3 linked regions of the Lonchura striata genome follow. The protein of the gene in region 1 purifies or fractionates together with the protein of each later gene. This does not show direct contact. Links are inferred from orthologs where the notes say so. Each region holds a gene or a part of one and is shown on either strand. Other genes may lie near its edges.

Region 1 (7,115 bases):
TACTTCTTGTTGAAGAATGTTTGTGCCAGTTGAAGAGAGTAACCTCAAACATAACACGTTTGGTTAAGTAAAAATACATGACTAATGTTAGTGCCATAAATGCCACTTTAAAAAGTTCAATGAGAAATTGAGATTGTTATTCCAATTTGTATCTTCATATAGCTTTCAGCAATGGAAAGGTATACTGGAAATACATGCAAAATAAGATTTCCCCTAACATTTTTTTCTAATGAAAACATGAACTAGAATTTCTCTCTATCCTTCCTGGCCTTTCTTTCCACCCACACCCCTTAAAAATGAAAAATGCATGCTTGCAGAACTTAAACACACTAAATGTCACATAATAAACAGTTTATCATTGCCATTCCCATCACTTCATTCATATACTACTACCCTGTAATTGTTCCTCACCAAAAGCTATTATTGCTGCATTTACTCAAAGTCAGTCTTATCAGTTTATTGTATTTAGAAGTGTTTAAAGCTTATCCTAAAGATCAGAATATGCCTCAACAAATTGGACTGTCTACTGTCAGCCAGGAAAGTATCTCCTGATTTCTCTAGCAAATTGTATGGCAACTTTGACTAAACACTCAAGACGTTTTACAGGCAATGACCTCTTTCCCACACCCTTTATGAAAATACCTTTTACTACCTTAAGTGACAGTGGTAACTATCTATTCAGGAAAGATAAATTACACATTTTAGTATTTCATGTGTCCAAAATGCAAATCAGAGCCAGATGTGCTAGCTGCAAGAAGTAAATCACTGTACCAATCAATAACAAATCCCAGGGACATGCAGACATTTAGTGTATATTTCACTGAAAGATGTTTGGTCAGATGCATATGTAGCCATTCATAGCAGATTTACAGCAGCTTTCCTGAAGTTTCTTATGGACAAGCAAGGTGGTACCCAGAATCTATAAGCTAAATAAAGATGCTGCACCTCTGGTCCCTTGGAATTTACCTGTATAGCATTGCAAAGAAATAGCAATACCACTCATAAATTGTACATGACAGTTGTGTGTTTATATTTTAAATATTTGGGTTTTTTTAGAGGACAGACTTGACATCTGTTCAGAAAAACCTGAGTAATCACTACCAGCTATCAGCCCTTCACACCACCACTGTTGCTATTTTCAGTGATACACCCTGTTTTTGCTACAGTGTTCTTGGCATCATCGTGCTGCTGTGATTCAATATTTATCTGTTAGATCTAGTTACATCACAACACCCTCTACACTACCCAAATCTCGTGTGGAACTTCTGCAGCTAACACCTAATCCACCGGTTTTCAGCTCTCCCTTCGAAATTCTCCAGCCGCGGAACAAAAAGTCGGTGGAGATGTGCAAACATCTGGCCCCCTGCGAATCGATCATCCATCCTCTGAAAGGGTTTGCGGTCATGCATAAGCACTGCACCTTCCTCCTGATGGCAATCGGGCAGGAACAAAACCGAGTGTGAACTGCAGTGGTTAGCATAAAACCACTTGTGAAAGGAGTGTGCCAAAAATTGTATTCAAAACACTTCAATTACAAGAGTTTTGCTCCTCAACAGCATCAAGTCAAAGCAATCATATTCCATTTATGATGGCAAACAAGGCCCTTGGAGCTTAATATTTTTAAAAGTTGTGTTAGGAGCAAGGTGGTAGTGTCTTGTGAAACAACAGAACCGAGTGCTGAAACTTCTGCTGACAACAAAGCCACCTGCTATGTCCAAGACCAACATTTCAGCATAATCCCGAGAAAAGATTAATTCTAAAATATTTTTAGCCCTGGCTTTGGAAGCAGACAGCACTCCATGTACACTGAAAAGCATCAGGGTGGAGAGCGGGCAAGAGAATACATGCAGGAAACATTCTTTGTTTATAACCAAAACACGGTCAATTATTCTCATAAAATCCATTGTCACGAAGAAAAAACTCCAAGCACACTGAACAGTATCACTATTAAGGTTTGCAGAGCAATCTCAGCTTTGGAATCAGACACACAGAAAATTAGGTAGTCACAGTATTACTGTATATTTGCTGTCCGTTTTGCAACACAGACACAACTAGAGAAAATAAATGAAAGATGATGAAGAAATAAAGAATGCATTTCAAAACTGAGCAGTGACAGAAATACGGGGGCAGGGGAGAATGGAGTTCAGCTTTAATTCTTTATCGCCATCTGATTTGGGGGAGTCTCTGCATTTTCTTGGTGACTCGAATTGTCATTTTCATCCAACAGTGGTAACCCGAAACAGCAGCTGGGTAACGCCAGCCAGAGCCTCAACTCCCAGGTTTCGTACAAGCCTCGAGCATCGGTTTAACAGCAGTTGCATAATAAGACTCAAAAGGCCAAGCACTCCTCCTGCCTTGTACATCTCCATTTCCACAAAAACCAGAGTGATGGATCTGGACGAGAACCGAGCACTACCCGAGCGCCACTACCAAGCTGGTTATTATGCAGCAAAGAAGAGGAAAACCCAACACCTGGCGCACAAATATGAAGACACCCAGTGAATAGGTGGATCTACGGAGAGCTATCTTCCCCTTCCCTTCCCCAAGAGGCAATCCTTGATGGGTGTGCCAGGAATGGGATATCGGGGGGGAGGAGAAGAAAAGGGGTGGGAAGTGGTTGCCGCTTGCTGCAGCCAGGCTGAGCGATGGCGAGGTGGTTAATCATGGTGGCTGAGGAAACATGGGGTCACTTCTCCCCCTTCCGCCTCCCGTGTGACGAGGACGGTGGGCACCGGCCACGGGGTGGGGGACCCGGACCCCGCACGGACCCGCCGGCGGCGACTCAGGTGGGTCCCGGGCGGAGCATCCCGGTGCCCGGTGCGGGCGGGGGGCGCGGGGCAGCGCTCCCCCGCCCAGCCCTGCCCTGCCCTGCCCGCTCCCCGCCGCACTCACTTGCCGATCACCTCGCAGAGCTCGTACACGTCCTCGAACAGCACGTCGTCGTCGGCCATGGTCCGGGCGGGGGGGCTCAGCCCGAGAGGCGGCGGCCCCGGGGACGCCCGGCTCCCCCGCCGCTCAGCGCCCACCGCCACCACGGTAAATCCCGGCCGCTCCCAGCGCCGCCCGCCCGCCCGGGGCTCCCGCGGCCGCGCCGGGACTCCCCGCTCCTGCCGCTCCTCCTCCGCCTCCTGCCGCGGCCGCCGCCGCTCCCCGCGCGTGTCGCACCCCCCGCGCCCCCGCCTCCCACCCCCCTCCCGCCCCCTCCCTCCCGCGCTCAGCCGCGGCTCCCGCGGGCGGCTCCGGCTCAGCGGGGCGGCGCGGGAGCCATGGAGGGGATCGGGGCGGGCGGCAGCGCCGGGTCACTCCCTCGCCGGGCGGGAGCGGGGCGCGCGTTCCCGGGCGGGCGGGCGGGAGCGCCGGGAGGGAGGATAATAGTGGGAGGGGGAAGGGCGGGAGGAGCCCCGGCGCGGGCGCTGGTTCCGCTCCCGGGCGCGAGGAGGAGGCGGCGGCGAGGCGGCGGTCGCGACAGGCGCTCGCGATAGGCGCTCGCGGCACCGAAGGGCGGGCGGGCGCGCGCGCGCGCGCGTGCTCCCGGCGCCGCCGTCACGCAAGCCCCGTCACGGGGGCGGGCGCCGCCGGGGGGCGCGCGCGCGCACGCGCGCGGGGCGCGGGGTGGGGGGGCGGCGAGCCACGCCCCCAACCGCCCGCTCGAGGGGTCCGGGGAGGCGCGAGGGGAGGGGGCTCGCGCAGGCGCGGTGACGTCATGGCGCGGGGAGGGGGAGGTGGGTGTGACGTCACGGCGCGGGCGCGGGTGCCGCTCGCGCTTATCGCCCGTGCGGCCCTGACCGCCTTTATCGCCTTTATCGCCATTATCGCCTTTATCGCCTTTATCGCCTTTATCGCCTTTATCGCCATTATCGCCCCCGTCACCCCCAGCGACCCCGCGGCCGGCACGGGGACGGTCGCGCCGCGCGCTCGCAGGAAACCGGGCAGTGGCGGTGAAGAAGCCGTGTGCGAGCCGGGCTCGCACGGCTCTGTCCCGTGCTTTATTTTCCCTTCTGTGTGTTCCAGCGGGATGCAAGTGTTTTCTGCGGCACGAACCGGACCGCCTGTGTTGTTGGGAGAGCCGCTCTTTATCCCTAAAACAGTGAATTCGCCCTGTGGCAGTGCGCCGTGAGCCGCTCCTCCAGCTGTGCGGGGCACCGCTGGCTCCAGCCGCGCGGAACAACGCGCGGGAGACATCGGGTGGATTTTAAATCACCCCATGCTCGCACCATTCATTGTTCCATGGTGTTTAACATGCTGCACGTGTGTGCTTTTCCAAGTTTTTTGAAAACTTGGATGTTTTGTTGAAGAAAGCAAAGCTCTCTTGAAGGGTTTAGTCGGGAACTCTTGCAGTTTACAGAAAGTATTTATTTCTCTCAAGGTACAGTAGTACACGTGCAACTTCCCAAAATTCATTAACAGAGGTAAATTATGGAATTGTTCCCCAGACTGAGGAAAAAAAAACTATCAGAGCAGAATTATCTGATGAAATGGTTTAAAGGTTGGCTTTAAAACGTAGAGCTGACAACACCTTACCTTGTTCCTGTCTCCAGAAAAAATTTAAAAGTAATAAAAAAATAAGAAAACCAGTGAAAATAATTACATCTATTTAATTACATCTAACTAATTATATCTAATAATTACATCACTGCACAGTGCTATCTTAAGGGTGAGAGACATTCCTGTGGGTCTGTGCTCCATCCCATACAAACCTTTGAAAAATATTTAAACCACCATCTGCTCTTTGGACTGCAAACAAAAAGCTGATATATTTAAACCGTTCTCTAAATTTCACACAGCTAAACGTGGGCACCCATTTTTTCCTTTTGCAGGCCCACAAGGCTGAGTCCCACACAGGTCACTCAGAAAGAATTTTTAGAATATGGGTGAGTGTTCACTTAGACTTTGAGCTGGAGTTGTCTGTGAAGCCGTCATGAGAAGTTAACATAAAAAAAACAATTCAAAAGTGCACAAGAAAGAAAATTGCTGGTGGTGGATCTCTTCCTGAGCTGGGGCAAATGCTTTGGCTGCTCCAGCAGCATCACCTGAGGTGTTGCCTCCCTCTGGATGCTGAGTGCTTGGTGTCACACCAGGCCATATTGCCCAGGTGAGACAGTTTAAACTGAATAAAAGTTTACCAGGCATAATATATGGGGGCCTTTGTGCCAAAATATTGTCATAGAGCAAACCTTCATTGGACATTTGTGTTGGTTTTGGGAATAGGCAGCACATAAATGTGGCTTTCTGCTAAAGTACAAGGTCCTGGGGCACAGGCTGGGGGTTTGTTGTGATCCTGGGAAGGAAGTTGGAAGACACAGAACAAAAATGAGCTTTTGCTGAAGAGAGGTGATCCATTCCCTGGCATCCAGGGAATGCCAGTAGGCATCTGGCTGACTTGAGGGGTCCTAGAGCAGCCTTAGCATTCACTAGGCTCAAAAGAAGCAAGGTGGATCTATCAAACCTGTCCTCACTCAGTACAGGGGAAGAGTGAACATGGGTGCTGCCTCCCGTTTGAGTTGCATGAGGAGAATCTGTCTGAACCAGGATTTTGGTGTAGATCTGGATCATAAAAAGTTGCACAGTGAGCCAGTAAATGCAGCAGAGATGCCACTGCATCAGCAGTTACTGGAACAATTGAGAATTGTGCTGTTACTCTGTTTCAGATTGAATGGGCTCAGGAAAATATGAGCGTTGGTCTGCCAGAAGGACCCAGTAGCATGATAATCCAAGCAGAGCATTTGCAGGTGTGTTTGTGATCAGAAATTCCAGCCACACGTTCAAAAGTAGTCATTCCCTTTCGTAAGCAAGCATTTTTGATTTTCACCCATTTATCCAGTGTGGATCCTTACAGATTGTGGGATTAAATTAATAATTCTGAAATACATACATCTAACATCTCATCAAAAAGTGTGTAACCATAATGTTTGGCATACGAGCAGAAGTGACTTTGCACTTGAGACCTGAAATTATTTACTGGCGAGGTAATGGTCTGAAAGCAGATCAGTTGGTTCAGAGCTGGGAGAGGGACTTTTTGATCAGGCAAGAGTAAGAGAACACTGAGTGTTCACATGAGGAAATGCCCTACAGCCCCTGGTAGCCTTTCCCAAAGCACTGCACGTGTTTCAGCTACCTGTCTGCCAGATTCTGGACAGGCTGGTTAAGATTGTGTATGTTTAGGTTAACCAGTTTTGCATTCAAAAAATGCTAAGGAGTAGCTGAGTGTGGGCTCGGGCACTAGAAAACTTATTTCTTAAAATTTTGTGGGGTTTTCAAATTTTATTCACCTGGGGTTTTCGCATACAGTCCGCACAGCATGAGCCACAGGACAGGTAAGTTGTTCAAAAATTGGTTTTGGAGCAGTAGTTATCAGTTATCCAAAGAGCCTTTGTGTTTTCATTTAAAATTTGATGTAAAAAGTACACGATGAAGAAGAACAAGAAATTTCAGTGGTTTGACAGCGTTCTGTTATCCCACAGATGTAGAAAGCACCAAATCCTGTTCCTCAGATTCCAATTGTAACAGGGTCTTGGGTACTTGATCTGTAACCCAGATATTAATTCCCTCCCTCTTAAAAAGTTTGAGAATGACACTGAAGATGAGTATGAGCTGTTAGTATTTTGTAAAAGAGAATATTGCAGGCCTACCGGGTTTCTGACAAACTGCCATATTGTTTAGGTGGGTCAGTTCTGTGAGCTGAAAATTGTTCATACTTTGGGCAGTAGAAAACATGTTTTGGTTGAAATGAAAAGTGTTTTGATCACAGGCACATTTTCAGGGATATTTTACAGGGACATTTGCAGTCCCTGTAAAAACTGTTAGTGAAAAGAGCCTTCAAAAGCCATCAGCTGACCTGGAGTAGGTCTGAATGATTTCTTGCAAAAGTCTGTAATTAAATCAGCTCAGAATCTGCCATGTGGCAGGGTAGGCTGCAGCTGCAGAGCTCAGGTGTAGCACACAAGTTATGCCACACTGTAATTAAGGAGGCAGGGTTTCCCACGAATGCTTGTCTTAACAGGTGAGTGATGTTTGTCTGGCAAGATAAATCTCCAGCTGCATTTTTTCCCCCCCAGTGGAGTTGGTTTTAAGTTCCTTCACAGTGTCAGTTCTCCATTGCTTGGTGAGAAGGAGAC
Region 2 (7,000 bases), on another chromosome or scaffold:
TCGCTGGCCGTGTCAGAGGTGGGTGACACCCCCAGCTCCCCCCTGGCTGGCAGGGAGCGGAGGTGCCGCACTCGAGGCCTCCTGGCAGTGCCCTCCTGTTGTTCCCAGCTGCTCCCACAGCCCCGTCCCGTTTCCCTCCACAGAAAGAGGACAGCATAGTCGTGGGCACCTCCAGCGGGGCCACCTACCAGCTGCAGCTGCTGCCAGTGAGGCTGGGCGGGCTGGAGAAGCAGTGGGTGCGCACGAAGGTGTTCCAGTTCCACAGCCACGACGTGCGGGCCGTGGCACACAGCCCCACCGCCCTCATCTCCGGGGGTAGGACTGCTGCTGGCTCCGGCACTGGGCGGGATCTCCCCTCCCAGGGTGTGGCTGAGCTGTGCTTGGCTTGCAGGCCTGGATGCCCAGCTGGTGATCCGCCCGCTGATGGAGAAGGTGCAGAAGAAGAGCTACGACGCGGTGCTCCGAAAATTCATCTTCCCCCACGTGAGTGATGCGTGGACTGGGGTCGTGGGGCTGGAAGGGCTGGATCTCCCTGCCCCTCCAGGTGCCTTCATTGCCCTGCCAGGGTTCCTTCCCTGAGCCTGGCTCCCTCCTCTGCCCTGTTTGTCTCCTTTCCTGGTACATCTGGAGGCTCTGCCAAGGAGCAGTGGAAGTTGCCAAGCTGGTCCTGCTGGTCCTGCTGGGTCTCCATCTCCATCCCATGGGACCTGATTTCCCTGCTCACCCCCGTGGGGAGTCACCAGCACTCCAGGGCATTCCGGCTGTGCCCCAGCCCGTTGTGCCAGGCTGTGGGTCCATGACACCCTGCCCATTTTTCCACGCAGCGACGCCTCGTCTCCTGCGCCAGGAAAGCCCGGCTGCTCCTCTTCCAGTTCTCCCAGTACCTGGAGCTCTGGAGACTTGGCTCCACTGAGGAGACTGGTGAGTCACAGGCACAGCTCTCTGGTGTCAGCTCCCTGGCAGAGCCCAGGCTGCCAGCAGGATTTGGGGGTTGAGCTGTCCTGGGCCTCAGGGAAGGGTCTGGGCACTCCCCCAGGATCCCCAGCTGCTCAGAGAGCCCCGTGTGGTTTTCCCACTCACCGGTGTCCGTGTGCTTTCTTTCCCAGGAAAGGACGGTGAGGTCCTTCCCTTGTGCCAGATGCCCGAGCACCTCTTGCAGCTCAAGAGCAAGGTAGGGCTGAGGGGGCTGGGGTGCCCCTGGGGCAGGTGAGGGGCGTGTGCTGGGCTCTGGGGGTTCCTCGGGCCCCCCCTCAGTCCCGTGGCATTCCCAGGGCCCGGAGCACATCTACTGCAGCAGCATCTCACCCTGTGGCACCTGGCTGGGCTACTCCACGGCCTCCCGCTTGCAGCTGTACCGCGTGCACTGCGACGGGGACGGCGTCAGCCTCAGCAAGGTCAGAGGGGCGGGGGGCCGTGGGGCCTGGGGGCTGGCACAGCCAGCGTCACTCGTGGGGACCATGGGTGGCAGCGGGGCGGCTGCCAGGGCTGCGTTCTCCCCTCTGCCAGGTCCCCAAAGCGCCCAAGCTGCTGCCTCCAGCCTACCAGCTCCAGTTCTCCGCCGCCTCCGACAGCCTCTTCGTGGCCTCCGCTCGAGGAGCTGTGCACGTCTTCCAGCTGCAGGAGCCGGGGGGCTGCAAGCACCTGCACACACTGCGGCCGCCCTCAGGTGTGGGCTGGGGGTTCCTGGGGTGGGGCTGGGGGTTCCTGGGCTCCGCATTCCCCTCCCCTGTGGGTGCAGAGCGGGGGTGTCCCCCTTTCCTGCCCTGAGGGGTGTGCGAGTCCCTCCCGGGGGTGTCTGTGCCCTCGTGGCCGGGCACTGGACAGGCAGGGGGGACGTGGGGCTGGGTGTCTGTGGGTCTGAGGCTCCCAGCACCCCTCTGAGCCCGAGGCTGTCTGCAGGCTGCTCCGAGGCCGTTTACCTGCTGGCGCCGAGCGCGGACGGGCACTGGCTGGCAGCCGTCAGCGGCGACTGGGCCATCCACGTCTACAACCTGAAATGCTTCAAGGTGGGCCTGGGAGGGACCCCTGGAGACATCACTGCACCCCTGGAGCAGGGCTGGGGTGGGTGTGTGGGGCAGGGGGTCAGGGGTAGTTCTGGAGGTTCTGCTCGGGGTGGGTGTGTGGGAAAGGGGGTCAGAGGCAGTCCTGGAGGCTCTGCTCGGGGTGGGTGTGTGGGGAGGGGGGTCAGAGGCAGTCCTGGAGGCTCTGCTCGGGGTGGGTGTGTGGGGAGGGGGGTCAGAGGCAGTCCTGGAGGCTCTGCTCGGGATGGGTGTGTGGGAGCGCTGTCAGCAGTGGCTGTGGCGGGTCCCACCAGCACACTGTCCCCTCCTACAGCATCACTGCGTGGTGCCCAGCTACGACTGCGCCGTATCGGCCCTCGCCATCCACCCCATCACCAACAACCTCGTCATCGCCTACTCGGACCAGCAGGTAGGAGCTCTGCTAGTGGAGCTCTCGTGGCTCTGCTCCCTTCCCCGTGTCCCTGCCCTTCCAGCGTGGCTCGGGGGCCTGGCTGGAGCCGCTGGGGCGCCCCTGACGTGTCCGTGCCCCGCAGCTGTCCGAGTTCAGCATCCCCGAGAAGCAGTACACGGGCTGGAGCCGCGCCGTGCAGAGCCGGGGGCTGCACCGCGTCTGGCTGGAGCGGGACTCGCCCATCACGCACATCACCTTCAACCCCAAGAACGCCGCGCACATCCTGCTGCACGACACCTTCCTGCTCTGCGTGCTCGACAAGTCCCTGGTGAGCCGGGGGGAGGGCCGGGGCTGCCCGGGCGCTCCGGGGGCGGCCTGACCCGTGCTCTGCCCGCTCCCGCAGCCCCTGCCCGACGACGGCGCCATCCTGATGAACCAGAGCACCCTGAAACAGCTCCCCGAGACCGCCCGGAAGCGGCAGCTCCACGCCTTCAAGATCTGCAAGAAGTTCCAGGTGGGTGGTGGTGTTGGGGAGCAGGGTCAGGAGGTGCTCGGGCTCTGGAGAGGGACTTTGAACAAGGGGACAAGGGGGAATGGCTTCCCAGTGCCAGAGGGCAGGGTTAGATGGGATAGTGGGATGGAATTGTTCCCTGGGAGGGTGGGCAGGCCCTGGCACAGGTGCCCAGAGCAGCTGTGGCTGCCCCTGGATCTGTCCAAGGCCAGGCTGGACAGGGCTTGGAGCAACCTGGGCTAGTGGAAGGTGTCCCTGCCATGGCAGGGGGTGGAACGAGATCCTTTAAGGTCCCTTCTACCCCAAACCATTCCCTATTTCCGTGATTCCCATCTCTGGCCTTGCAGCCACTGCTCTTCATGGATCTGCTGGACAAGAACTGCCTGGTTGTGGTGGAACGACCCATCATGGACTTCAAAACCCAGCTGCCTCAGCCTGTCCAACAGAAGAAATTTGGCACCTGAGAGCAGAAGAAGCCACTCCAACCTTGGGAACCGTCTCTGTGCTGCTTTCCTGGGGCACTGTAAGAATTTTCTTAAGGTGCTGTAGGAATAAAACCTCACTGTTGTGTACATGCCCAGGCTCAGGGCTCATCCTTGTGCGTGACTCCCTGTTGTTACACCACCATCATGTCAACATGATCTTCATATCCTTCCAGTTCTCCTCCCCGGGGCACAGGGATAAGGTGACACCCCAAATTCCATCCCTTTTCCCTCAGTGTCTAATCCCGGTGTTGGATTCTCCCTCCGCATCAGTCGTGTGGGTCCGTGGGTGCTGCCTGGGGCCGGGCAGCCTCATTCCCTAAGGACGGGGGCTGTGGGTGTTGCGTGGGCCAGGGAAGCGTCATTCCCCAGGACGGAGGGCGAGAAATCGGGGACCACGGAGAGCACGGGAGATTCACAGCGGGGCTCGCCAAATAAATCGCAGCGCGCCAAATAAATCCCAGCGCCAGACATGGCGGGCGGGGCGTGGCTTCCTTTGCCCCGCCTCTCAGAGCGACCAATCGCATCAGCGGTGGCTTAGCCGCCTCCTCTCTGATTGGTGGAATCGGGGCGGGGGCGGGGCGGCCCCACCCCAGTCTCCCGCGCCCCCGAGCCTACCGTGGCGCGCCATGCGGGCGGGGGCGGGGCCGCAAGCCACGCCCCCTCCGCCAGGCCACGCCCCTTCCCCGGTGACCGGCGGCGGCGGCGGCGGCATGGCCGTGTGGACCCGGGCTTGTAAAACGGGGCTGCTGGAGCTGCTCCTGCGGGACCGCTGGGTCCGCGTGTCGGCCGAACTGACCGGCGAAACGCTGAGCTTAACGGCGGAACCGGGAACCGGCGATCCGTCGGTGGTGAACGGCGTGGTGAACGGCAACGCGGAGGCGGCGGCACCCGGTGGCGTGAGGAGGGTGCGGGTGGTGAAAGCGGAGGCGGGAGGGCTCGGGATCAGCATTAAGGGAGGTCGAGAGAATCGGATGCCGGTGCTGATCTCACGGATCTTCCCGGGGTTGGCGGCGGAAAGGAGCGGAGCGCTCCGGTTAGGCGACGCCATCCTCGCCGTTAACGGCGTCGATCTCCGCGATGCCACCCACGATCAAGCTGTGCAGGCGCTGAAGAGAGCCGGGAGGGAGGTCATCCTTGAAGGTAACGCCTCAGCCCCTTCCTGTCCCCCGAATCCCCGGTACGGGCCCCTGGTGCTCTCCTGTCCCCCGCCCCGGTGCTCCCCCGCCGTTACCGGCTCCCACCACCGCCCCTGCCGCTGTCACCGGGCTCCCGGACCCGCTCTGGGTCGCTTTTCCGGGTGTGGGACGCCACTGCCCCACCCCAGTCCTGGCGTGTTTGTGTGTCCCCCCAAATCCCCGGAGCCTCGGGGGGCCCGCAGGACGGGGGGCAGGGGACAGGGGCTGGGGCGTCCCTCGGGTCGGGCTGCTCCGTCTGTGGCGGGATGGCAGCCGGGCACAAGGACAGGATATCCCCGCCGACTGCTCCTCCAGGACAGGCTGGGCTCCCTCGGAGACACATCTGGGATCCCCCAGGGCAGCCTTGGTGTCCCCTGGCTGTGGCGTCCCCCTGAGCAGGTTGTCCCCCATCCTTGGCACCCCCAGGCTGGCTGGCTGGCCCCAGGCGGGGCTGTGACGCCGGGTGCTGGTCCAGGGTCTGCCCACGTCCCTGCGGGCTCGGTGTCCCCGCGGGCCCCGTGCCCGCGGCACAGCTGGCACGGGACTGGCCCACGGAGCCACCGGCTCCTGCCCGACCTGTTCCCGGCAGCCCGACAAGCTCGGGCAGGACCTGCCCAGCCCGGCGGCGCGGCACGGTGTGCCACGGGGCACCGCGAGGCCACGAGCCCCCTGTGCCATCAGGGAGGGCTATCAGACAGTGCTGTGGTGCCACACGCACTGTCCTGGTGTCCTGGCACGTCTGTCTGTCCTCCGCTGCACGAGGCTGCTCCGGGGACACGGTGCCCGCTGGGCACAGGGCACAGGGACGGGTGCTGCCGCTTTGCCACGAGCTCCTGGCACACTGCAGTGGCACGAGGGGACACGGCTGGGCTCCCCGGAGTGGGCACACCTGGCACGAGGCGCTGGGGCACGGCTGGGGTGCCGCAGGGGTTGAGGTGGAGCAGCGGTGTCAGGCTTGGTGCTGTGGTGGGGGCTGCTCTTGGGTTCAGCCCGTGCTTCCTTCCTCCCGCTGCCCGTCCTTCCTCCCGCTGCCCGTCCTTCCTCCCGCTGCCCAGCCGTTTGATCCTGTCCTGCAGCAGCTCCAGCTCTGTGCTGTGTTTGTCCCTTGCTTCCGCCACGGGCACCACGGCAGACGCCTCTTCTTTCCCTTTCCTTTTCCCTTTCCCTTTCCCTTTCCCTTTCCCTTTCCCTTTCCCTTTCCCTTTCCCTTTCCCTTTCCCTTTCCCTTTCCCTTTCCCTTTCCCTTTCCCTTTCCCTTTCCCTTTCCCTTTCCCTTTCCTTCTCCCTGTGCTGGGACAGGAGCTGATGGGGGACACTGCCCATCCAGTGCCATCCAGCCCCATCCCTCCTCACAGCCCTGGAGCTGTGACCGCCCTGGCAGGTGCCAGAGCTTCTCCTGGGCTCAGTGCCAGTGGTGGAGGGGAAACCATCATCTCCGTGGGGCTGGTGTCACCCATCCTGGGGCTGGGTTTGGCCTCGGGGCCCACGCCAGGCACCACCCACGGGCCCATCTGCTGCCCTGGGGGAAGGGAGCCCTTCCGGAGCTGTGGGTGCGGTGCGGACCATGGGCACTGCCCGGGCACAGGCCTGGGGAAGCCGGGTCGGTGCTCCCGGCCGGGTGTGGGGGCTCGGCCCGGTGAGGCCGGTGTGCCGGCAGCAGTGCCGTGCAGCCGGAGCAGGCAGTGCCGTGCAGCCCCTTCCTGCAGCGGGGCAGCGAGGGGCGCAGCGACAGCCGGGCTTCCTCTGCGGTGAGCGCGTGGGTGGCAGTGGCTCTGCCGGGTGACGGTGGCTCCGTCGGGGCAGCAGCGGCCTCGTGGTGCGGCTGCGTGCTGGTCACGGCTCGCCAGAAGCAGAAGGGGTGGTCGCACCCCCGTGCTAGCCGCGTGTCTGCTGGCACAAGGCGCTCCGTGTCCTGCCTGCACCGTGGATGCTGCCCACTGAAAACTGGGAGCCGGTTCTGCTGTCCCCACCGTGGGCAGACACAGTCCTGGGCATCACCCACCATTCCCGGTCACCGCGGGGCACCCGCACCCCTGGCTCCCGAGCTGCTGGCTGCCCAGCTTGGCCTCTCACCTTCCTGGCTCCGTCGGGGTCAGTGCCTGAGCTGGAGCCCCACGCGCTGAGCTCCCTCCCAGTGCTGGAGGCAGCTGCCCACATCTGGCAAACATCTGCCGAGCGGCCCCGCAGCGGGAGCTGCCCGCGGCGCTCCCTGCCCGGCCCGGCAGCGGGATTAGGGGTGTGGGGCCGGCGGTAATCCCGGGATCAGCGCGGCGGCAGCAGCTAATATTAACTCCTGTGCTGCCCGCAGCAAGGGCAAGCACCTCGTGGCTCAGCAGAGCCGCTGGGAAGCGGGGGGCTGGTGTCTCCTGCCCGCTCCCCGTCCCTGCCGCCCCATCCTCGCTCCCCCTTCCCGCTCG
Region 3 (7,303 bases), on another chromosome or scaffold:
GAAATATGCACACACAAAATATGAAATACATTGAAATATATTGAAATCTCAAATACTTCCAGTTGGAAAATTCCCAGGCAGCTCTATAAATGATGGAGCTGCCAGGTGCCCTCCTCTCACAGAGGAGACAATCTCTGCACCCACCTCTGGGGCAGCAAAGGAAGAGACGTGACCAGGAACTAGTGCTGGTAAACTGGCTGGGAAACAAGGAATATCAGTCTAGATATTAGCAAAGGCAAAGTTCATTTCCCAGTCATAGAGAAGAATTTGTAACCTCCATGACAAGAGTAGCAGAGGCAGCAGCACCTCAGTCCTCAGTGTGTTTCTTGGGTACACATTCTCTCTTACGCTTTTTCTTTTCATCCCAGTTGAGCAGCAAAGCAGCATCTTGTTTCAACTTTGATGCTCCATGGGTATTACCAGGTCCTTTATTCCTGCAGTACAATGAGATGTGATTTTCCCCTAAAGCTTTTAATGAATGCTGCAAAGCTTTCTATTATTGCTGAAAAAAAATCAATTAAGAGGAAAATAGGAATAATGAAATGTGTTCTGCCATCTTGGATTGATTTACAGTTAAAATTTGGCTGAGCAGTGTTCAGGGTAAAGTCTCTCACAGCCTATGTGCAGTTGTAGAGAAAAGAAGGAGGGGCAGGAGGTCAGAAGGCTGGACCCTCCTGAGTTCTGGCAGTGCTGTGGGATTGCCTGTGTTGCTGCAGTAACCGTGTCCTCCTCGGGAAAATCCTGCTCCTGGCATTGGGAAGGGGCTGCACTCCCTGTTTGTGTCCCTGGAGAAGCAGTGAAAGCAGTGACAGAGGTGTCCCAGTGCCCGGCTGCCACACCGACACCTCCTCTCAGCTCATGGTGCCCCTTCACCCTGGGCTTGGCAAGGGCTTGTGTGGCACAGAGGGAGCCTCACCCCCTGCGTGCCAGTTCTGGGACAGAGAGCTGCTGTGAGCAGAGCACGGCTGGCCCTTCTTCAGCTGCCTGTCAGCAGCCCCAGGAAACAGAGAGTCTCAGAGAGTGCCATTTATACTGCAGCTCCCAGCTGGCAGCTCCCACAGATGGCACATGCAGCCGATTCCTCTGGGGGTTCACAGCAGCTGGGCACTGCTGGGTGCTGGTCCTGCAGCCACTCCAGGCCCCCCTCTCTGGGCACAGAGGGGACAGTGTGCTGGGAATGGCCCTGGGGAGGCCAGAGGCAGCAGGGACTGGGCTCCAGCGCCCAGCCAGGCTCACCTGCACAGCTCTGAAGCTGCAGGGCATGGCCAGGACCATCCTACGGGCCAGCAGCAGCGAGCACTGCTTGAGACATGAAGCACTGGGGCCATAAACAGAGCCAGGCCTCACTGCTGGCTTTGCTCTTTGCACAGAGAGGCAAAGTGGTTTAGATGGGGATGTAGGGAGCAGAAGAATAATCCTCCATTTTCCTTGGTAGGTTTTCAGGCAATAAAAATGTTCCCCGCTGAACATATCTGTGCACACCTGCCTCATGCTGGTTATGATAAATGTGGGCTTCTGGATATCCCAGAGTGTGTGCTGCGGGCAGGGATGGAACTGCTGCTGGTTTGTGCAACTCCTGACACCAGCCTGGAGGTCTTGCGCCTGGGAGATGGGAGGCTCACTTCAAACTGTCCCTGTCCTGACACCAGACTTGAGGTCTTGGGGCAGGGAAATGGGAGGCTCACTTCAAAGTGTCCCTGGAAGTGCTCAAGGTCCGTATGGGTGACCCGGAGTGCTGTGGAGATGGAGGAAAGCTGCCCTGCAGGTTCTGCCCCCGTGCCCAGGGTGCTGCGGGCTCTGTGCCGGGCAGGACTCGCTGGGCACTGCCCTGAGCAGCTCACACTGGGCACTGCTACACAACAGCCTCGGGATTATTTTAATAACCATGCTTACATTTCTTTCTTCTCTTAGATTACAGAGTTGGTTTTACTTTCCTGATGATGGCAATTTTATTGTAAGGTTTTATTTCTCTTTTACTGTGCATGAAATGGAACACTGAGGTGGCTGCTCAGGAATCAAAATTAATCCTGTAATTGTAGCACAGTGAATAAGTATGTGCAAGAGAATAATCTTGTAAAAGCTGATTACCTCGGTCATTAATAATTAGGATTTATGAGTTAAGTAATATGCTGCAACTATATCCAATAGCTTGGCAATTTCATGTGGAAAGTTAAAAGAGATAATTTTAGAAATAATCCTTTGGGAAATCCCAAGCGACAACTAAACCAGCATCTTAGGTTCTGCCTGTGGCTTTTCCCTTCGGCTCTGGCTGTTTGAAACTGGAGTGGCAATTTGCAGTCTTGTCTTATTTGTGGACATACGCATTTGTTCATTTTAATTTCTTTGTGCATTGCTTAATGTGATTCTTAGCAAGATTTTTTGTTTTACTGTGTTCTCTGGCAGAAGAATTAATAGTACATCTGAAGTTTAAGTGCATGTACACAGAGTTGTCTGGTCCTTACAGGATCCCCGGCAGGACACGATCCCCGGCGGGACAGGAGCCCTGTTCAGACAGGATCCCCGGCGGGACAGGATCCCCACTGGAAGGATCCCCGGCGGGACAGGAGCCCTGTTCAGACAGGATCCCCGCTGGGACAGGATCCCCGGCGGGACAGGAGCCCTGTTCAGACAGGATCCCCGGCGGGACAGGAGCCCCGCTGGGACAGGATCCCCGGCGGGACAGGATCCCCAGCGGGACAGGATCCCTGTTAGGACGGGATCCCCGGTGGGACAGGAGCCCTGTTCAGACAGGATCCCCGGTGGGACAGGAGCCCTGTTCAGACAGGATCCCCGGTGGGACAGGATCCCCGACGGGACAGGATCCCCGGCACACCCCGCCGGGCGCTGGCGCCGCAGCGAACGGCGGGGCCGGGCAGCTGGTCCTGCCCGCGGCTCTCCTCACCCGCCCGCGGTAACGCGGCCCGGCTCCTGCCGCAGCTCACCGCGCGGCCCCGGGCGCCGCTACCTGCGCGGGCAGGGGCCCGGGGCAGCCCGGCCGGGCGGGGCAGGGGCCGTGCCCCGGCGGAGGCGCCGCTCCGCCCGCCCCCAGCCGGGCCGCAGGTGGGGCGGGCGCGGCACCGGCGGCGGGCGCGGCTCCGCCCGGCCCGGCCCCGCTGGCCCCGCGCCCGGCGGGGCTGTGGCGGCGCTCGGGCCGCGCTCCGCGCCCGCCTCCCTCGCGGGCGGCGCCGGGCGGGCGGCGATGGACGGGCGGCCCCCGGCGGGCCCCGCCGCGCCGCGCTGCGGGCGGCCGGCGACCCCCCGCCCGCAGTCCCTCGCCTGGAGCAAGCCGCGGCCGCGGTCGTACCAGAGCCCCAGCGGACTGCTCGTCACCGACTTCCCCGTGGAGGACAGGTGCGCCCTCTCCGCGACTCGGCCCGCCGGCACCCGCGCCCCCTCGCCCGGCAGCCCCGCCATGGGATCGGTGTCCAACGGGACCGTGCGGCCGCCGCGCTCGCCCGCGCTGTCCCCGGGGCGTTCCCGGCTGCTCGCCCTGGCTCCGGACAGCCCCGTCGGTTCGACCGCCAACGGCACCATCTCCCCGCCGGGCAGCGGGCCGGGCCGCCGGCCGCGGCCGCCCCGGACCGCGGGGCTGGCCCCGCAGCAGCAGCGGATCGTGTTCGGAGCCAGCGCCCAGCCCGCACCGTGTCCCCGGGCTGCCGGGGCTCCGGAGGAGCCGGGAGGGTTCCCCAGGAGCGGCCGGGGTGCGGAGGAGCCGGGAGGGTTCCCCAGGAGCGGCCGGGCTGCGGAGGAGCCGGGACCATCCCCCAGGAACGGCCGGGGTGCCGAGCCCCCGGAGGGACCGGGACCATCCCCCAGGAGCGGCCGGGCTGCCGAGCTCCCGGAGGGACCGGGACCATCCCCCAGGAGCGGCCGGGCTGCCGAGCTCCCGGAGGGACCGGGACCATCCCCCAGGAACGGCCGGGGTGCCGGGGTCCCGGAGGGACCGGGACCATCTCCCAGGAGCGGCCGGGGTGCCGGGGTCCCGGAGGAGCCGCGGCCGTGCCCCGGGCGCGTCCCGGCGGGGCCGGGCGCGGAGCCCCCCGCGCTGCCCGGCTCCCGGAGCCCCGCGGCGCGCAGGGCGGGCTCGCAGCAGCTGATCCCCCGCAGCCTGGCCGAGAGCCGGCCCGCGGGCCCCGAGCGCGGCCCCAGGGTGCGCAGCCTGCTGGAGACCCCCCGGCCGGCCCCGGGCAGCGACCCCGAGGACGAGCCCGAGGGCGGCCCGGGCGCGCTGCGGCGCGGGCTGCGCTCCACGTCCTACCGCCGGGCCGTGGTCAGCGGCGTGGACCTGGACGGCTCCGCAGACTGCAAGAAGAAAAACAGAATGTCCCAGCCCATCCTGAAAGCGGTGGTTGAAGATAAGGAGAAGTTCTCCAGCCTGGGGAGGATAAAGGTGAGTGCGCTGATAGGTGAAGGGGCTGGCTCCGTGGGAGCGTGGCCTGCTGATCCTGCCTTTGCCATAAACGCTGGGAACTTTCAGTTTGGTTTTGTCCCAATGCAAAACTTTTCATAGTAACTGTGAGCTTTGAAAGTGCTGTTTTCCAAGTGAGGTGTTGGAGATGGCGGGCTCTGTTGAAATCCAGGCGGCTCAGAGCCTTTGCTGGCTGCCTCCTGCTCGCTGTTCCTGCTGGGTTCTCCAGCTTTCACAACCGAACCAGGGGCTTAAAACCTGTGTCCCAGAAAGCAGTAAACAGGAAAAACATAAGGGACATTGTCTTGATAAAGTCTGCGTGCTAGAATAGAGACAGAAAAATGAACTTCCTCTCTCACTTCTCTGAGACAGTATTTTTAAAAATCACTGAGTACTTTTTAAATTGATAGAAATTACTTCAGGTATTTAAATGCCTGAAAGCAATTTTAATTTTTAATGCTTGAAAGTAAAAGCAGCATGCCTATTTATAAATCTTGGTTGTAATCCCTTAGAATCCTATAGTAGAGTTACATTGAATGTTAATGTATTCAATTATAGAGATATACTGATAGTGTTCTTTTACTTATCATACTGTAGTATTGGATTTCCTTATTTTAGATATAACTTGTTACTGTATGAAATGTGTTTGTAGATTTATGTGTAATAAAGTACATCAGGCCAAGAGTTGATGCTGTAGCTTTTAAAATAATTATCAGCTTTATGGCAGTTTTCAGCCAGTTTATGGTAGTGGGTACTTCTGTGAAAACACTGCAAGGGTGAAATAGAAATTGATGAAATTGTGAACAGCTGCAGAGTGTGGTTTGGTTTGGTAGTAGACTTAAAGCAGTGTGTTGTGTTTAAGGTAGGAGGACATGAAACTGTGCTGTCCTTACGGAGTTCTCTGCAAGTAGTGTTTTATTAAATAGACTCTTGGGCCCTGGGACGTGTCGCACCAGAACAGCTGTTTGATCTCAGAGGTCTGTTGTGCTCTCAGAAGGCTCCTTGGCAAAGTGCTCGCAGTGGTTTTGTTTGCAGAGTGGAAGGGCAGCCTCCCAGAGCTGCGCCTCCACAGACAGCCCTGGCACAGAGGGATGAGCTGTAGGTTCCCTGAACCCCTCTCAAGCCAGTGTAATGTGTTTTTGAAACACGTGGAAATACATCTAAACAAGGTATGAGAGAAATTAAACTAGGGTAGCTTTTCACTTTCTCTGATGACACAGTTGTTTTTAATGAACTCGTGTCCAACATACGAAGTTTACAGATTAGGGCCTGTTGGTTTGGTGCCCAAGTCTTGAGTAAAACAGACATTCTTGTTACTGTGATTATTTTGCATTCTCCTCCTTCTAACATAGCTCTCTTTTCTGTTAAAATTATCTGCAGAAGATGCTGAAAGGACAAGGGACGTTCGATGGAGAAGGTGAGCCCTGTTCTGTCCAGAGCTGTTAATAACTCCCAAGGGAAATGAACTTCAGGATCGTTTGGCACACTTCCTTTGTATGGACTCTCAGACTCAGTACCTTGTTTTTCAGTAATGCATCTGAGATGTGGGGCTATAATTTTGGCACTAGGCCTATTTTAGGGCTATTTTAAAGACTATGCAGTGGCAGGCTAAAAAGTGTGTCAAGGGCTTCTTTTCCACTTCAGCTGCTGTCCCTCCCAGCACGTGGGCTGTTGGCTGTGTTTGCCTCAGCCCTGACAGTTCCAAGGAGGTTTGCCTGCCTTCCTGCCTGTGTCTGGGGCTCTGCCCAGTGCAGGACATTTGCCCTCAGGGGTTTGTGCCATCCCTGCAGCACACACCAAATGGTTACCCTAGGCTGGGGTTCACAGAGCTGTTTCTGCCTTCTCATCAGCTCAGGGTGCTGGGCTGAACCCTTGGGCTCTGCAAGCATTTTCTTTTCTTGCTACCTAGGCTTCAAATATAAGTGTCAGAAAAACACTGTCTGTGGAGTTGTATTTTTTGTATGTGGAGTTTGTATTTTTGTGTTACTCGTTAATTCTGGGTTTTGCCAAGTTTGCTGCTTTTCCTGATACTTCAACAAGAAAACAGAACTTCTGTAGACCCATCATAGATGTTATAATAACTGCTACTCTTGGCTTTTCTCTGCTTAATGCCTGTTTGAGGTCATCTCAGCTGCTGTTATCTTCCTCTGTGTTTTCAGAGCTTCCCACTGTGTTCTCTTTGCATCATCCCTTGCCCTACTCTATTTTTATCTCTTCTCACACTATCTCCTCATGATGTTTTCTGGATTCCCTTCCAATGGTCCTGTCTGTCTTGGATGATCCCAGCTAATAACCTTCTCTGGAATGCCTCCCACAGTTCAGTTGCTGTGACAGTTTGCTCTGTTAAAAGTGTGGAACTCGACAGCCCTTCCCCAGGAGCTGCCCCAAAGGCACCCCAGGTCTGGGCAGGTGGGACAGACCCACCCAGCCAGGCGAGCTGGGGCCCTGCCTGGAGCAGCCAAACCTCCACCTCAGTTCCCCTTTCTCTTGTAGGGCAAGATTGGATCTTATCCAAAGCCTGGCCCATCTAAAAGTGCCCTTCAGAGCCTGCCTGCTTAGTGGCTTCGTTGCTCTGTGGGTTTTGTGGTGCTGAATTTCTGCCCTTGCTCGCTGCTGGTGCCAGGGCTGTGTGGCCAGGGAGGTGGGGAGAGCAGGAGTGCTCCACGCCCGTGTTCCTTTGCCACTGACAGTGCCAGCAGTGTGTTTGGTCTTGGTTCACGGGGCTCGTGCTTCCTCAGGCTTTGAACTTTCTCTGTGCAATAGTTCTGATCTCAGGTCTCTGGAACTGGAAACAGTGGCATGTGAAGACAGCGTTCAGAGTTGACAGGAGAAGGGTTGCTGTGGGCAGCATGCTTTTCCTGGACATGAAAATAGTGAGACCTGCAGATCAGTGAC

Evidence for each region. Proteins that work in one complex are often made in the same cells at the same time.
Region 2: the proteins of CASK (region 1) and SNTB2 purify together in Homo sapiens (affinity purification with mass spectrometry; 3 studies listed by BioGRID and IntAct, with this or other methods). This does not show direct contact. The link is inferred for Lonchura striata from reciprocal best matches to the Homo sapiens genes CASK and SNTB2.
Region 3: the proteins of CASK (region 1) and ARHGEF26 purify together in Homo sapiens (affinity purification with mass spectrometry; 3 studies listed by BioGRID and IntAct, with this or other methods). This does not show direct contact. The link is inferred for Lonchura striata from reciprocal best matches to the Homo sapiens genes CASK and ARHGEF26.

What each region holds. Positions count from the first base shown.
Region 1 is NC_134604.1:110,082,104-110,089,218, forward strand, and holds the start of CASK (peripheral plasma membrane protein CASK), read right to left. Parts: upstream 3,052-7,115; 5' UTR 2,952-3,051; coding exon 2,893-2,951; intron 2,787-2,892; coding exon of another isoform or gene 2,646-2,786; exon of another isoform or gene 2,629-2,645; intron 1-2,628. Other genes in the region: uncharacterized protein LOC110474871, read left to right, coding at 2,646-2,786. UniProt on the Homo sapiens protein: Multidomain scaffolding Mg(2+)-independent protein kinase that catalyzes the phosphotransfer from ATP to proteins such as NRXN1, and plays a role in synaptic transmembrane protein anchoring and ion channel trafficking.
Region 2 is NC_134615.1:23,002,627-23,009,626, forward strand, and holds the start of SNTB2 (beta-2-syntrophin), read left to right. Parts: upstream 1-3,921; 5' UTR 3,922-4,034; coding exon 4,035-4,548; intron 4,549-7,000. Other genes in the region: UTP4 (U3 small nucleolar RNA-associated protein 4 homolog), read left to right, coding at 1-18, 144-315, 392-483, 825-921, 1,107-1,171, 1,272-1,394, 1,507-1,666, 1,900-2,006 and 4 more. UniProt on the Homo sapiens protein: Adapter protein that binds to and probably organizes the subcellular localization of a variety of membrane proteins. May link various receptors to the actin cytoskeleton and the dystrophin glycoprotein complex.
Region 3 is NC_134612.1:26,471,292-26,478,594, reverse strand, and holds the start of ARHGEF26 (rho guanine nucleotide exchange factor 26), read left to right. Parts: upstream 1-4,224; 5' UTR 4,225-4,321; coding exon 4,322-4,390; intron 4,391-5,788; coding exon 5,789-5,825; intron 5,826-7,303. UniProt on the Homo sapiens protein: Activates RhoG GTPase by promoting the exchange of GDP by GTP. Required for the formation of membrane ruffles during macropinocytosis. Required for the formation of cup-like structures during trans-endothelial migration of leukocytes.